Linked DNA regions of Arabidopsis thaliana. The protein of the gene in region 1 interacts with the protein of each later gene in a pairwise test. Each region holds a gene or a part of one and is shown in the gene's direction. Other genes may lie near its edges. The genes, in order: GIP1, LBD18 and bZIP68.

Region 1 (5,723 bases):
TTTCTTTGGTTCAGCTTTCTTGATCTCCACCTACAACAAAGCAACTTAATTAACCTAGCTATGCTAAGGACCCAAACTATAGCAGGGATTTCCTATCTTACTGTGACAAGCTCCTTACATTTGGTAAGCTAGTGGGTAGAATTCTAACTAAGTTAAACGTGTATAATGAAAGGAACAAGGAGAAAATATCAAATTGAAACCAAGATAAATATGTCATCATGAACCAAAATTCTAATCCCCATTTGTACAAGCTTACCTGAGTGTCTGCCATATCGATCATGTTTCCTTTGGACAATAATTCATCTACGACTTCTTCGCTATCAAAAATTACAAAACCAAAACCTCTGGACCTGTTTGTTTCATGGTCTCGAATAACCTGGTGCTCCACCACGTTCCCATACTTGGCAAAGAAGTCCTTAAGTTCATCTGATCAACAGAAAAAGAAACCAACTTCAATAAGGACAGGAAACCAGCATTCTCATGGAAAGCAAAAAAATATCATGCCAAGAGGGAGGTCTACCTTCTGTAACCGTTGAGGGTATACCACCAACGAAAATCTTCTTTGTTTTGATGTCCTTTGACTGATTGCCACCAGCACCTTTCGGAATAGTCCTTTTGATCTCAACCTGTTCCATCAAAACAAGGAAAAAAGTATTGATCAAGACCCAACACCCTACTAAAAATGAACACTATAAGCTAGTGAAGGAAGAAAAGAGAAGTGGCCGACCTGTTTGCCATTGATGACATGAGTATCTTCGATAACTTTGTCAACAACAGAAGGGTCAGCGAAGGTGATGAAACCGAAACCCCTAGGTTGTCCAGTATGTCGATCTCGCATAATGACAGAATCTGTAATCTCCCCGTACTTGCCAAAGTGCTTATTGAACACAGCTGCAATCAAAACCAAAGTGAGCAAGTAGAATCAACATTCCAACAGGTCTAACATCAGAAACACACACAAGAATCCATAACATAACAAAACTTAGAAACGCAATTTCTAGAACAAAACAAGAGGAAGAAACTTACTATTAGTCGTGTCTTTGTGCAATCCTCCAATGAATATTTTCCTGCAACACAAAAATTCCAAGCAAAACATAAATTAAACCTTAACCAACAATATAAAAAGAGTTACAAAGCCAACAGATTATGAGATATTTCCCTTAATCCTGTGGAATCAAACATGCAAGAGGTAGGAGAAGTAAACGTACCCAGGACTAGCGCCATCGCCGGACTGGAAATTATCATTACGAGATCTGGAACCCATCGCAGCTCCTAAATTCAGTTTTCGATTGAGCTAAAGGATCGAGAGAGACACCGAAAGCTAGGGTTTTGATAAGATCTGATGTCTCTTCATCTAATTAGAGGAGATAGCTAAATCGTGTAATATATATATATTCTTAAATTTGGACATCGACTTGTGGAAACAAAACAAAGTTAATATTTTTTTACACAGCTGTCTATTTTTCCTATTCTTGTAAAAAGACAAAAAAAAAAAAAGTAAATTGTTGACAGTGGGATTTGAACCCACGCCCTTTCGGACCAGAACCTTAATCTGGCGCCTTAGACCAACTCGGCCATATCAACTTTGTTGTCTCTCCTTCCATTAAACGCGTACAAAACAATCAAATAATGAGGAGGAAATCGATAAACAGTGACGTCAGCGTATAAATATACGTAGAGAGAGACATTAAGCGGTAGATTGTACGGAAATAAATAATAGTACTCAATCAAATAATGAGGAGGAAATTGATAAACAGTGACGTCAGCGTATAAATATACGTAGAGAGAGACATTAAGCGGTAGATTGTACGGAAATAAATAATAGTACTATATACGAAGTCTTTATGTTCAACCCATATTTCCTCTCTCCTCCTCCCTCCGCTTCTCTTTCTCTCTGTAACCAACATGAGCAGGATCAGCGGCGATGGCGGCTCTAGGGTTTCTATTCCGGCTGATCTGCTTCAAACCATTCAAAACATCAGAGAGGTTACCGGTAAACAACATTCCGACGAGGATATCTTCTCTGTCTTTAAGGAGTGTTTCAGTGATCCACATGAGACCACTCAGAAGCTTCTCTATTTAGGTTGTTTTACTGAGAAAGCTTCAGCATTTGTTTTTGTTTTAGTGTTTTTACTTCCTTTTTGTTGTATTGAGCGTGTGCTTCTCCTAGGGTTTTGTTTTGGATTTTGCTATTTAATGCCCTTTGTCGATTTTGGTCTTGTCTTAGAATCTGTGTGTTATGCTTAGAATCTTATGTTTTGTTTATTTAGATTTCTAATTGGTATAATATGTCTGGGGATGTTCAAATAAGGAATCTTTTTTACTGAAATGGAATATGTAGAATTTGGGTTCATGACTAAGAAACTGTCGTTTTAAATCTTTACCAATCTAGCTGGAATGTGGAAAGGGAATTTCTGTTTAGCTTTGATTGAGATTGGGCATCTGGGTTAAGTTTTGATTCTGTCTACTGTTTCAAGATCAACATAATCATGTACTTTGATAGCAGACATGTACTCATATATTATTACTGATCTTTCAGATACATTTCATGAGGTGAGAAGCAAACGGGAGAGAAAGAAAGAGGTAGCTTTCCTATGTTCTTTTGAATCCTTACTTTGCATTTTAAGTGTGGTCTTGAGTTCTCTGTTTAGCTTACATCATCTCGTTTCTCTTATGCCTTTATGTGTATTACCTGTTGTAGAATTTAGTGCCAAATACACAAGGAAGGGGCCGGACTGGACGGAAGAACTTTGCTTCAAGTTACACAGGTCATTGTGGTTTATGTTCTTTTACTTCTAAACTTGTGTTCTATATTTCCTTCCTTGATTCAAGCTCTTTGTTGATTCAGATGCCAGTAATGGAAGAAGTGCAGCTTTTAAAAAGCAGAGTGGAGCTAATCACATAATAGGAGGTTCTGGAACTGCTTCGTCTGCTCCTAACAATGCAAGAAACGACACAAAACCTTCTTCCATAATGTATCCATACTTTTAATTCTGTCTATGTCTTTAATTCCCTCTTTGGATATGGGCTTCCTAACGCATTCTATTCTTTTTCAGGGCCCCGAACCCTATAAGTCTTCCAAGTGGAATCAGTAACCAGAAAATTCAAGATGCTATCATATCCCCTGTGGACAAGGTGGACACAGAGGAACAGCCTCTCTCCAAGGCTACTTCTTCTTCTAAGGATGTTGTTGAGCCGGATAAGTCTAAAGAAAGTAGTGTATCAGTGGCTGTATCAGATTCTGTTGTAGAAAACGATACTCAATATGCTGTAGTTGAAACTTTTCAGATCCCACAACAGTCCGAGCGAGGTATAAATTATACCATATAATTACTTGCCTGCTAATGTTGCTTTAAGTGCATTCTGTATTCTGTTAAGTTGTTCCTGAGTTTGATTACAGCCTCTTATGTGATTCGACGTATGGCTTTATTTGGAACAGTCATTAAGAGTGAGGTTGCAGCCAGTAAATGCAAGAATGAGTCGCTTCTCAAGTCGGATGTTGGTGAACGGCCGCACGTAACATTTCCTGTCCACATTCAGGTTGCCAAAATGCTGGAAAATGGTCTGACATTTGGGAGCTTCGATTCTAATTTTGTGAGAGAGGCATCTTCTGACAAGTTTACTATTGGGTGTGATGACTCCAATATTGAGTCTTCTCATGGGACAGCCGCATCAGCTAGGTTGGTGACTAATAGCTACTTTGAGTAAATCTTACAGTGTTACTTGCTTCAATATTCTCATGAATTGATCTAGAGTCTCAGATGAATGAGTTTCTGATATGAATACCTTTATATGAAACTTGGTTTGCAGGAAAGATATATCAACTTTTTCTCAGGATAAGAATCATGAGATTTCAAATTCAGCAGCTCAGAACGAGTTAACATTGCAGCCAGATCAAACTGTTCTCCCTGAAGAAGGTTCAGAAGGAGATAAAGTAAAGAACGAGGTTTTACCAATCACAGACACTCATCAGGTTGGTTATTATCAAGAAGCCCCACACAATGTCTTTTTAGTCTTGTGCATTCATTGTCAGCATCAGGCCAACCGCGTGGTTTTTCTAGCCAGGAAATATGAACACAATGCTTAATCACTGTCTTTTATATTTTGTTGATAATTGCAGGCTGCAAAGTGTGATGCTCCACCTATCTCCTATCCTGATCAGTATTCCTTAGCAGCCGCTCAACAGGCAATGCACCTTTATAGGCAACAATACTCTCTTAACTATTTCCCTTATGGTCCATATTTCCCCCCTTATTATATGCCGCAACCATACATTCACCAGTACTTGAGCCCAAATGGGTTCCAACAACAGTCTTACTTACCACCCGGAGATGATGCTCCAGCACCTCCAGGGGCTGAACTACCTCTCACTCACATCAAACCCGGAAGCGACATTGGAAACTCTCCACCTACCACGATTCCATTCTCATATACTTCATACGCCTTCAACCACATCCCATCAGCAGCCACCATAAATGCTACTCACAAGGAAGAAAAGAAGGAAAACATGTACACAACTGGACCACTGGTTAGTTTTTCTCTGACTCTCCCCACTGTCATTGCATGTTATGCTATAGTTTTTTAACACGGCTCCATGTAGCAGAGTCTAGCCAATCTGCAGGCCAGTCCCATGTACAACTTATCCCTTCAAGGTCAGCCTATAGCTTTCCCAACCATGCAGGCTGGGATCCGTGGGTTATATCAACAAACACAGCCAATACTGGCGCCTCTATCTATATCTGCGAGGACTGAACCCATAGGACCATCGCACGTAACTAATCAGCAACCTCAAGCTGCACGAACAAATCTGGGAAACAACTACTAGGTCAAGGAGTATTACTAGAAAGATGCATATTCAGATTGGTACGAGATGTTTAAGTCTGGAATTTTGAGTGATTTTGTGTACATACTTAGGATACATCACCCCCCAAGAAGAAGATTAGTATTTGGCAAGGGGACAAGAGAATTGGTGCCTTTTGTTTTTTCAATTTTTGTGAGTGCCACAAACCGCTTTGATCTCGTTTATCTGTAATTCTTCCGAATCTTACAATATAATCAAGTGATCAGTTTATATGAGCAAGTGGACATTTATTCTCGTACGTTGTGATCGTCAATGAGCAAGCCAAGTCGATAAATGTAAATGATTTTAGTACCATATAAAGTATATTGAAATTAATATAGTTTCATTTGCTCCTTGTTCAAGTCAACAAATGCATTCAATTTAATACAAAAACATTGAAAGAATGTGGTCTACCAAACTAACACCCTGATAAACAGAGAGAAAAAGAGAACACAAAAAGCAAGAAAGTTTCAGGTTTGACACAGTTGATCCACACACTTCTTCCGTTATATAACACAAGCCTACATTCATAACAATTTTCTTGTGGAACAAGAATAAGAAAGATAACATGGAGATCAGAAGATCAACAGAAGAAGTTGAAGAGAATCATGTAATGCAGATTACAGGAAGCAATGGCATAGTTCACAACATGGAGTTCATGCCACAAGCTTACCTCAGAAACCAATACTCATCCGAGATTGACATTGATGAAGAGTTCGTTTCCACTTATCCTCTCGAAGATGCCCCTCTTCCCATCTTTCTCAAGGTTCAACTTTCTCTTTTGCTTTCGATTTTCCTTCATTAAGACAAAGCTTATTGGTTTCGCCTCTTTTATTTATATGCAGTTTGAAGATGTGGAGTATAAGGTGAGAAACAGTCATGC
Region 2 (4,649 bases), on another chromosome or scaffold:
ATTTTTTAGTAGATATTGACCAGTGGATTTTAGAGTTCAAAGGAATAATAGGGTCGTAGGATGATAGGATCAACCCCCAATTTGAATATATGGTTAAACAACGCATGTGTGTATATATAATTTTTAAATTACGTCTATTAATTTGTAAGACAGATCAATTTATACAATCCTTATATATATTCCTTACCAAATTCGACGAGAATGTTAGATTTAGGGTTTGACTGCACGAGTGGAATAAAAAGTTTCATCAACAAAAGCGAAGTGATTAATTATATTTTATTTTTTTAATTAACTATATAATGAGCTATATATCATATATATCAAGAAACAATCTAAGAGAAAATATAGTGAACTAAAATAGTTTATGTTTGATCGAAAATGGTCGACCCTTTCTGTACATATATCCCCAAGATTTGAGGTACCATGTCACTTCCACCTCCTACACTATCTCATCTCTAATTTATTACGCTATTATATAATTCGACGATGTTTATGACTAATCAATAAACTAAAAAAATAAAAATAAATATGATAGCAAGAATTGTCTTTTGACTCATGCTGTTATGCATTCATGCCCAACACAATTTTTTTGGTCAACCATATTTTTACCTAAATCTAAAACTCGAATACGAAACTCAAGTTCAAGAGCTTAACATTTTTTTTTTCATTCATTTATTTAACAGTATTTATTTTATAAAAAAAATTACAACAAACTTCAATTTTTTTTACTAATAAAATGAAGGATTATTACACATTTAAGAAAAACATACGCGTGGAGGAGACATTGAGGAAGCACAGAGGCGTTACTAACTTTCTAAGGGAACGGCGCGTGGGACCCACGTGAAAAATGACGTCATTCGTTTCTTCGATCTTTCACTCGCTAGGCAGTTACAATCATTATTGACATGTGTACTTTTGTTGTTGGTACACGTAACTACGTTTTATTTCCATTTCAAACCGAGAAATTTAGACATTTTGACTCCCGGTTCACTCTGATCTCGTTTCTAAACCGGAATCGAATCCATTACACTTGATTTTGGAAAACGTGAATGCTCATTTTAACTTAGAATGAATGATTTAACATAGTTAATGCTCTTTTTATAAATTTGGAAAGATAAGTTGGCGAACGAGTCATTTTCTAGTAAGCGTAACTAACTATTTCATCAATTAATTATGAATTTTCTTCTTCTTATCAAAAAGGTCTTTCTTCAATTACATAAGCTTTTGCGTTTTTATTCCGATAATATAAAATTTTGAAAAATCGAATCATTAAAGAAAATAACTAAGAACTGGCATTTTGTATACACGCCATGTATATATATATATATAACTATTTTATCAATAGTTACAAATTGTAAAATTTTAGTGTTTGATGGCTAATTTAAGTTGGACCTCAAGTCAATAGTTTAAAAACTATGCCAAAAAAAAACTTAATTAAGGGTATAATATTTTATTTCATTTATCCATCTTGTTCGTAATTAAATTCATGAGATATCTCCAACAATTACAGTTCACATGTATATTCACAGTAAATAAAGAGAAAGCAAGAAGTTTATTTTTCTTGGAAAATAGTTTTTTTTATCACGAGATGTTCCAAGGGATATTAGGTAATCAAACGATTTTCCCCCTTTTTTCCTCTTTTGATTCATAAATAATATAATTATGTAGTTAAAGATTGTGAAAAAGAATAATAGAAGAGGCTTATCGCATGTTTGCTTCACGCAAACAACTAAATGTGAGAGAAAAAGAGAAAATAGAGAGAGATCGTTTTTTTTTTGTTAGCTTTGTCGTCGCTTGGCTTTAAAGACTTTCTTCTCTATACTCTCCTCTTACCAAACCCTAATTCTCCTCTCTTGATTCCCGTTTCTCAAATCTTCCTCTCATCTTCAAACAATACCAAACATAATCTCCATATTTTTACTCAACAAGTTTAAAACCCTAACGCAAGAGTGGGGAGATAGAGTAACAACTCGTTAATTGGGGGGTGGCCGGTCATGAGCGGTGGTGGGAACACAATCACTGCCGTGGGAGGCGGAGGTGGTGGTTGTGGTGGAGGAGGCAGCAGTGGGGGAGGAGGAAGTAGTGGCGGTGGTGGTGGTGGGCCATGTGGTGCTTGTAAGTTTCTAAGGAGGAAGTGTGTGCCGGGATGTATATTTGCACCGTACTTTGACTCCGAGCAAGGATCGGCTTATTTTGCGGCGGTGCATAAAGTGTTCGGAGCCAGTAACGTCTCGAAGCTTCTATTACACATACCGGTTCATCGAAGGTCCGATGCTGTCGTAACAATTTGCTATGAAGCTCAGGCTAGGATAAGGGATCCTATCTACGGTTGCGTCGCTCACATCTTTGCTCTTCAGCAACAGGTAATTAATAATTTATTAAACTTTTTCTCAATAGTAAAATGCGTTGGAAATCAATATATGTGAAACATACTAATTGACTTAAACTAACCACAATTTATTTTGGTGACAGTTACAATTTTCTTTTTCTTTTCCAAAGTAGCAAACTTCGGTTTCGTTTGGGAATAATCTATAATTTTAAACTCATGCAAATTCGTTTTAGTATGAACAATTTTTTGGTGTGCATGAAATGAAATCGTCGAGTTTTTCGAGAGTTTGCACTTTCTTGAGTTTTCTTGGTTTTGCAATCTTCTACTTTGAGTATAAAGGAAAAAAAAAGCATGGTTGTCTGTTTAATTACTTATGAAATCTTTTAATATAATCTATTATGCAATTATATAAAAATGATACGGTCGTGACAAGTCCCATTGCAAAGTTACGAAGTTTTGTTTTGCTGGTTTTCGGGAATTGGTCGGGTACAATTTTCTGTGTTGATACGTATATACACCATTATATTTTTTCCACTAAAAACCGTTTTCTTTCTTGTGAAAACTGAAGATAAATCATTTTGTTTCTTCGCAATTTTTGTTAACCGTGTAATAAGGGGATGATCTTATATGATGCGTGTCATTTTATTTTTTTACTATTTATGTTAATAGTTTACATAATTTGTGGCCTAACAACCTTAGCAAATCGAACATGCATTAATTCCATTCCTGAATGCTATAGTTAAAGGTGAATAACAGGTAATTGCTTAAACTGTTAGAAATGTGATAATTACATGAAATCATAAATTTTAAAATAACACGTACTAACTAGCTATTTATAGGATATCTTCTTAAAAAAACAAAAAACAAAAAAAACTATTTTAGGATAATTAAGCTATCACGTTAAGCGTATAAAAAACTACTGTAAGAGATAGAGATTTCACTGATCAAACTAAGTGCATAATATTTGCAATAAATTGTAAGCCATTAATCGCATTCTTACGTAAATTCCAGAAAAGTACAGGTTTAGCCTTAAACCTATATGTTTACATATCATGCAAAACAAATTCTAACTCGTAAAGTGTATACATAGGTGGTGAATCTACAGGCAGAAGTTTCTTACTTACAAGCCCATTTGGCATCACTAGAGCTACCTCAACCGCAAACGCGGCCACAGCCTATGCCGCAACCGCAACCGCTCTTTTTCACTCCTCCTCCCCCTCTTGCCATAACCGATTTACCTGCATCAGTCTCACCCTTGCCCTCAACCTATGACCTAGCATCCATCTTCGATCAAACGACGTCTTCTTCGGCATGGGCCACGCAACAACGAAGATTCATTGATCCACGTCACCAATACGGTGTATCATCGTCTTCCTCTTCTGTCGCCGTGGGGCTCGGTGGTGAAAACAGTCATGACCTCCAAGCATTAGCACATGAACTCCTCCATAGACAAGGATCTCCTCCCCCGGCAGCTACCGACCACTCGCCGTCTCGAACTATGTCTAGATGAGTTGGTTTTGATCGATACATCTCCGCATTGTTATTAGGAAAATTAAATTACAACTCAATAAGATTTAATTTTCTTTGAAAGTACTGATTATAAATTTTCTAACATTTATATTGTATTACTACTGTATTTTCACTTCTTTTGACTGACGAGTATTTTCTTTCTTCTTTGCCTTTACTTTTTTTCTCCTATTACGTAAGTTTTTGAATATATCCCGAGTCATACATACGTTTCCTAATCAGTTGTATATACTCCATCTTCTTATTTCTGCCTCGGGCATTTTCTCGCAAGGCCCATTCATATTGTGGGCTTTGACCTTCAACTTTTTTACTTTTGTCAAGCCTTTTTTAATCCCTTACATTTCAACAAAAAAGAATAAAAGAGGAAGTAAATTACAGAGTTATGGTCTTATGGCTGAATTAAACAGACATCAACATCTGCAAAGAGCACGAAGTGAATTTACACTATGCTTCTCGAGAAATATCCTTACTCACTAATAGAGTTGGGTTTCTCTTGTATTCTTTCTTTATAGAAGATATTTCCACGGGACTGGATTTACAATATCAATTGGAGTTGTGTAGTTTCTTAAGATATTTCCTACGAAATTGTCATTTGGTAATTGGTAATATATATAAGATTGTATCGCATGATGATCTTTACGGGCCTGATGTTATCTAAAACAATTTGGTAGTGGATATTTTTCAAGTTCTAAATTCCTTGGTGAGGATGTTTTTACTTGTATAAGTGTTTGAAAGAAAAATTGGTCTTGACGATTTTAGTGTAATCGATCAAAATTAAGTTTTACTAAAGAGA
Region 3 (5,667 bases), on another chromosome or scaffold:
GACATTACAAAACCAAAAAAAAAAAAAACGCATGAAAATGAAATCATCAATTAGTCTTCTTCTTTCCTTCAACTAGTAGAGATACACCTTGTTGGTTCGCTTCCTCTTACTCTTCCTCTTCTTATCTTTCCTTTCATGTTCTGCATCTTCTTTAAATTTCACTAAACTTGGAACATAAGAGCAAGAGCACACAAATGGTGAAAAAGAATAAATGCGGTCTCCGACCTCCACAGATTCTTGTGGGTTCACAACTTCATCAAGATCAACTTCTTTCAAGCATCCATAATCTCCAATGATGTAAGCCGTATTGTTGCGTTCAGATTCGTCTATATCAAAAACCACGACGATTTTCTTCTCTTCGTCAATGAAGAAACTGCCAGAATCATCGTTAAACTTTAGACTAGTGAGTGGTTCCATTTCAACTGCTAAGAATTTGCTCCATGACACCGCATTCGGCTCTATCTTAGTTGTCACCCATACCTCCATCTCATAGGTATAGCAGCGCTGATATAAGACCGCAAGTTTCTCTCCTTTAACACAAGATAGTCTCCCAGTCTCTATAAAATCATGCGAAAACGACAAAGAAAGAAGTGGTCCAAATTTCTTTGTTGTAAAATCAAAACCGAGTAAGCAATCATACCCTTCCATTACTTCTCTTCCCTCAGTCAAAAAATAAGCATTTCCATTTAACGACGCGCCGGGCTGATAACATTTTAACCCCTTGTTGGGAATGCCATAAAAACAATCCCATGAGTCAGAAGAGTTCATGTCGTAAATCTCGTAGTAGCCTTGTTCAGAAAAAAACCTCAAGATCATGTGGTTCTTGTTGTTGTCGTACCCGAGAGCATATGTAACGCCTATGTGGTAATCATTCCTAGTTTTGATCCAACGAATTTCTCCCAAATACGGGTTCCAAACTACGAGCTTGCTTGAGTGGTTCCTTGTGACGCATAACAATAAACCTTCGCAATAAAACACTTTAGATATCTCGACTTGATTAAGTAAATTACCTATTGGCTTTATAGATGGATCAATGAACTCTTCACTGTTTTCATTGAGGCCGATTCCATGGAGATTGAATCTCATGGAATAAAGCCTATGATTCATTATCGTGAACCCTAAAAACTGATTTCTAGCTTCTGTTTTACATAAAATCCGGTTCTTGGAAAGAACGTTCCATAGTTTGCAACTAGATCTCACTGCTTTAAGAGAAGTTATCGGAACCCTACACAATATCTCTTCGACTAAATCAAGTGAAAGGTCGGACATCATCGTCATTGTTTGCAAATAGAAAATTAGGGTTAACTTTCACGCCCACCACTCTTTTTTACGAGGATTATATGTGCATCAGAAAGAAGACACACCTTCCTCACTAGGGTTTTACTTTTTCTATACAAAAAAAAATTCTTACTTTCATAAGATAAATAAATATGTGGTTTATTTTGCAACAAAAATAATAATATTTATGTGGTTTATAAATTATAATCGATATTAATTGTTAAAAGTAAAAAACTTTCTCACTAAGTTAGTAAAATGGTAATTTCCTTTTATGAGAAAGCATTCTTGCTAATTGCTATCATCGGAGTTATTAGTTTGTATCGACTATGGTGGATCTTACACATATACGTATTTGTTTTTAATATGATAGGAATACTACTATCTTCTTCTTCTTCGTGAGTCTAATAATCCTTTATTAAACCCTAGAATTCACACTATTTCTACTTTTTCTCTATCGAATCCCGTAAGCCTCACGTCAACAATAATCCGGTTTAAATCTGGTTCACTATTTCTTCTAAATTTGTAAGAAATAAAGATCTTTATATGTAATTGATAAAATGTGGGAACAGCAATGCAATTGATAGGTTTTATGGGGTTAATTGCATAAATAAAAGAAAGATTTGGGCTTAATTTTAAATGATATATTCCCTGTCAAGCCCACGCAGCTTCCTCCTCCTCTTCCCCGTCAGAAACACGACACGAACCAATCACCAAAAAATTTCTACCTCTTTTGATTCTAATCAATCTCACTCCAATTTCTGCAAAAATCAAACCTTTTTTTTATATTCATTTCACATCTCTGTTTTTCCTCAGATTCCTCAAACATTACAGATCTTCAGGTAATTTTTCCCCTGATCTATAGTTTTAATTACGTTTGAACAATAATTCAGTAACAGTTTAGTTTCTTACATTGCATAGATTCTGGAATCGGTGTAGTTCTTTAGATTTTTTGTTATCGTGGCATTTATTAACTAAAAAGTTACGTTTTTTATTTGTACCCTGAGATAAAAATGTGACCTTTTTAGCTTCCTTGGTTTTATCAGTTCATATGCTTAGGAACTGTATTGATCAATGTTAAGTTGGAGAAATCTGATTGTTGGATTTTGGTAGGTTTTCTATTTATAAGCAGAACTTGTTCTGTTCTTGTGTGAAGCTTTCACTGGTTTTGGAAATTGGTGAATGTGATTAATGGGTAGCAGTGAGATGGAAAAATCAGGTAAAGAGAAAGAACCTAAGACTACACCGCCTTCGACTTCTTCATCTGCTCCTGCTACTGTTGTTTCACAGGTTTGCTTTTGGTGTAAATTTGGTCTAGCAAAGTGTTTTTTGTTAGTGTCATGCTTTGATGTTTAATGTTTTGTGTTTTTAGGAACCTTCTTCTGCTGTGAGTGCTGGAGTGGCTGTTACTCAAGATTGGTCTGGCTTCCAGGTCTAATACGAGATTATTCTTTGTTTCTTTGTTGCATTTTGGTGTTATGGGGTTCATGTTTTTCTTGTTGAACAGGCTTATTCTCCTATGCCGCCTCATGGTTATGTAGCATCAAGTCCTCAACCTCATCCTTATATGTGGGGCGTTCAGGTAAATCGAATTTTTTTAGATGATTTTAAGCATTCTTTGGAGCTTCAGGGGATTAGTTGACGAGTCCCAAAACTTTTACTATAGATATTTGCATACTTGGGATAAATTCCCTTGGTCACTTGTGTAGATTTAATCGAGATTAATATTTTCTACCATATATAGTACGTTAGGTTAATGAATGAATGTAACGACAACTTAAGACATTGTTATTTCCTTTTTGTAGCATATGATGCCGCCTTATGGAACACCGCCTCATCCGTATGTTACGATGTATCCTCCAGGTGGCATGTATGCTCATCCTTCATTACCTCCGGTACTGTTACAGTTTGGATGTTCAGTTATGTTACTCAAAAAAGTGAATGTTTTTGTAGTTTCTGTTAACATGTTCCGTGCTGCAACAGGGGTCTTATCCATATAGTCCCTATGCAATGCCTTCTCCTAATGGAATGGCTGAAGCTTCTGTGAGTTTTCTCTGTTATCACTGTTTTTATTAGAGTATGGGTCAGATGGGATCTTGCTTGAAGAATGTTTTGGATTCAGGGTAATACTGGAAGTGTTATTGAGGGTGATGGTAAACCATCTGATGGGAAGGAAAAATTGCCAATCAAAAGATCAAAAGGAAGCTTGGGAAGTTTGAATATGATTATAGGAAAGAACAATGAAGCTGGAAAAAACTCAGGAGCATCAGCTAATGGAGCTTGTTCTAAAAGGCATGTGACTTCATATTTGTATGAACATCATATTGGCATGAATACTTATGATTGCTAGCTCTAGCTATGATAATGTTATTGGATAATTTTGTTGAAATTGTCTGATTTGTTCTCGGTTTAACAGTGCTGAGAGCGGTTCTGATGGATCAAGTGACGGAAGTGATGCAAATTCACAAAACGTAAGTTTCTAGCATTTCATTAAATCGTTGCGTTGGATTTCATATGAAAATTAAGGAGCGTTTATGAATATGGTATTGATTTTTGTAGGACTCTGGCTCTAGACACAACGGGAAGGATGGTTAGCTAATATAGCTTTTTAGTTCTCATCTCTTAACATGTAATAATGACGTACATGTTAGAATCTGCTTATTTTGAGGTTTCTCTTTCTTGTTTCGTAATTCAAGGTGAAACAGCTTCAGAGAGTGGTGGTTCTGCTCATGGACCACCCCGTAATGGAAGTAATCTACCAGTGAACCAGACCGTCGCTATCATGCCAGTGTCGGCTACAGGTGTTCCAGGCCCACCAACAAATCTAAATATCGGAATGGATTATTGGAGCGGTCATGGGAATGTTTCTGGAGCAGTTCCTGGAGTTGTAGTAGATGGTTCCCAATCACAGCCATGGTTACAGGTTTCTGTAAGTATCTCCTAATCTTACTTCTCCTTTACGTTTATCCAAGCAGCGTGTTTGATTGTTTTGTGAAATCAGGATGAGAGAGAGATTAAGCGACAGAGACGGAAGCAATCCAATAGGGAATCTGCTCGTAGATCCAGGTTGCGTAAACAGGTAACATAAACATGTTTCTTCAAGCTGATCTAGCATCATCATGCCTATCAAGTATGAATGATCAAAAGCTTTTCCTTTTCTCTTCTGTGTTCAGGCGGAGTGTGATGAGCTAGCACAACGAGCAGAGGTTTTGAATGGAGAGAACTCAAGTCTTAGAGCAGAAATTAACAAGCTTAAAAGCCAATATGAAGAGCTTCTTGCTGAAAATAGCTCTCTCAAGGTAAAAGATTACAATAAAATCTTCTTCTACAACATCCATAATCTGCTTGAACATAAATTGAAAGTTGCTGTTTTCTCTGGTACCCGTTGTTGCAGAATAAGTTCTCGTCAGCCCCGTCACTGGAAGGTGGAGACTTGGACAAGAACGAGCAAGAACCACAGAGAAGTACACGTCAGGATGTTGCGTAGACGGCTCGTGGTTCCTTCCACAACTCAGCTTGACTCAAGAACAGCAGCTAACAGATATATGTAATTTTAGGAACCAGATTTGGTGTGATTTCTTTAGTGTTTAAATAGGAGGAAGCATGAAAAAAAAAAATAGTCTCTTCTTTAACAAACTGTGTATATCTTTTCTTCAGATTTTGGACTTTTTTGTCTCTCAATAAAATGAACTCGGAACTCTAGACACATTGAGTTTAGCGATTGCGTTTAGCTCGAGTAGAGAAACGCAAACGCTAATCTTTACTCTTTAAAACGCAAACGCGATTGCGTTTTGTTTGTGAGCCACAAATTTCGGAGTCTTCTTCTCAATCTTTGAATACTTTTTCGAAATATCAAAAGAAGGAACAAAAATGCAAGCCATCGGTAGCAGCCATGGCAGGAGGCTCTGCTTCAACCACTATCTCTCCGATTCCTTCTCCAAATTCCTCTCTCCTTCTTCTTCTCCTTCCCTTCTCCCTCAGGTAACACTCTCTCGTTTCCGCTGCGAAATCTGTGGAAACTATCTCTACTAGGTTAGGTTTAAGTGTAGAGTTTTGAATTATCGAAATTGTCTGTGTAACTGTTGATGAACCAAATCTCTGAATCTCTTGGGTTTGATGTGTAATCTTAATTCCAGTTTTCTTGTTGCTTTCGTTTGTTAAATTACAGAGATGCCATTCGTTCTGTATCCCCAAGCTTGGAAGTAGTAGTACCAATGAGAATGGCAGAGGAAGAAGTGTAACAGTGAGAGCTTCAGGAGATGAAGATTCTAATGAGAACTTTGCTCCTCTTGCTCCTGTTGAGCTTGAATCTCCTGTAGGACAGCTTTTGGAGCAGATTCTTAGAACTCATCCTCATCTTTTACCCGTTACTGTCGATGAGCAGCTCGAGAA

Evidence for each region.
Region 2: the proteins of GIP1 (region 1) and LBD18 interact in a two-hybrid assay, tested with the Arabidopsis thaliana proteins (one study listed by BioGRID).
Region 3: the proteins of GIP1 (region 1) and bZIP68 interact in a two-hybrid assay, tested with the Arabidopsis thaliana proteins (one study listed by BioGRID).

Annotation. Positions count from the first base shown.
Region 1 is NC_003074.8:4,250,389-4,256,111, reverse strand, and holds GIP1 (GBF-interacting protein 1), read left to right. Parts: upstream 1-1,833; 5' UTR 1,834-1,905; coding exon 1,906-2,083; intron 2,084-2,539; coding exon 2,540-2,583; intron 2,584-2,701; coding exon 2,702-2,768; intron 2,769-2,848; coding exon 2,849-2,975; intron 2,976-3,056; coding exon 3,057-3,310; intron 3,311-3,439; coding exon 3,440-3,680; intron 3,681-3,810; coding exon 3,811-3,973; intron 3,974-4,120; coding exon 4,121-4,528; intron 4,529-4,603; coding exon 4,604-4,825; 3' UTR 4,826-5,154; downstream 5,155-5,723. Other genes in the region: AT3G13224 (RNA-binding (RRM/RBD/RNP motifs) family protein), read right to left, coding at 1-30, 257-426, 521-626, 728-891, 1,027-1,067, 1,209-1,264; ABCG26 (ABC-2 type transporter family protein), read left to right, coding at 5,409-5,606, 5,686-5,723. UniProt on the Arabidopsis thaliana protein: Plant specific protein that enhances G-box-binding factor (GBF) DNA binding activity. May function as a nuclear chaperone or lever and regulate the multimeric state of GBFs. May contribute to bZIP-mediated gene regulation.
Region 2 is NC_003071.7:18,716,607-18,721,255, forward strand, and holds LBD18 (LOB domain-containing protein 18), read left to right. Parts: upstream 1-1,741; 5' UTR 1,742-1,994; coding exon 1,995-2,363; intron 2,364-3,419; coding exon 3,420-3,839; 3' UTR 3,840-4,123; downstream 4,124-4,649. UniProt on the Arabidopsis thaliana protein: Involved in the positive regulation of tracheary element (TE) differentiation. Involved in a positive feedback loop that maintains or promotes NAC030/VND7 expression that regulates TE differentiation-related genes.
Region 3 is NC_003070.9:11,563,556-11,569,222, forward strand, and holds bZIP68 (basic region/leucine zipper transcription factor 68), read left to right. Parts: upstream 1-1,938; 5' UTR 1,939-2,117; intron 2,118-2,388; 5' UTR 2,389-2,466; coding exon 2,467-2,565; intron 2,566-2,647; coding exon 2,648-2,707; intron 2,708-2,782; coding exon 2,783-2,857; intron 2,858-3,080; coding exon 3,081-3,170; intron 3,171-3,258; coding exon 3,259-3,318; intron 3,319-3,397; coding exon 3,398-3,567; intron 3,568-3,691; coding exon 3,692-3,746; intron 3,747-3,834; coding exon 3,835-3,865; intron 3,866-3,971; coding exon 3,972-4,204; intron 4,205-4,276; coding exon 4,277-4,354; intron 4,355-4,448; coding exon 4,449-4,574; intron 4,575-4,669; coding exon 4,670-4,762; 3' UTR 4,763-5,090; downstream 5,091-5,667. Other genes in the region: AT1G32140 (F-box family protein), read right to left, coding at 88-1,278; AT1G32160 (beta-casein (DUF760)), read left to right, coding at 5,146-5,256, 5,444-5,667. UniProt on the Arabidopsis thaliana protein: Transcriptional activator that binds to the G-box motif (5'-CACGTG-3') and other cis-acting elements with 5'-ACGT-3' core, such as Hex, C-box and as-1 motifs.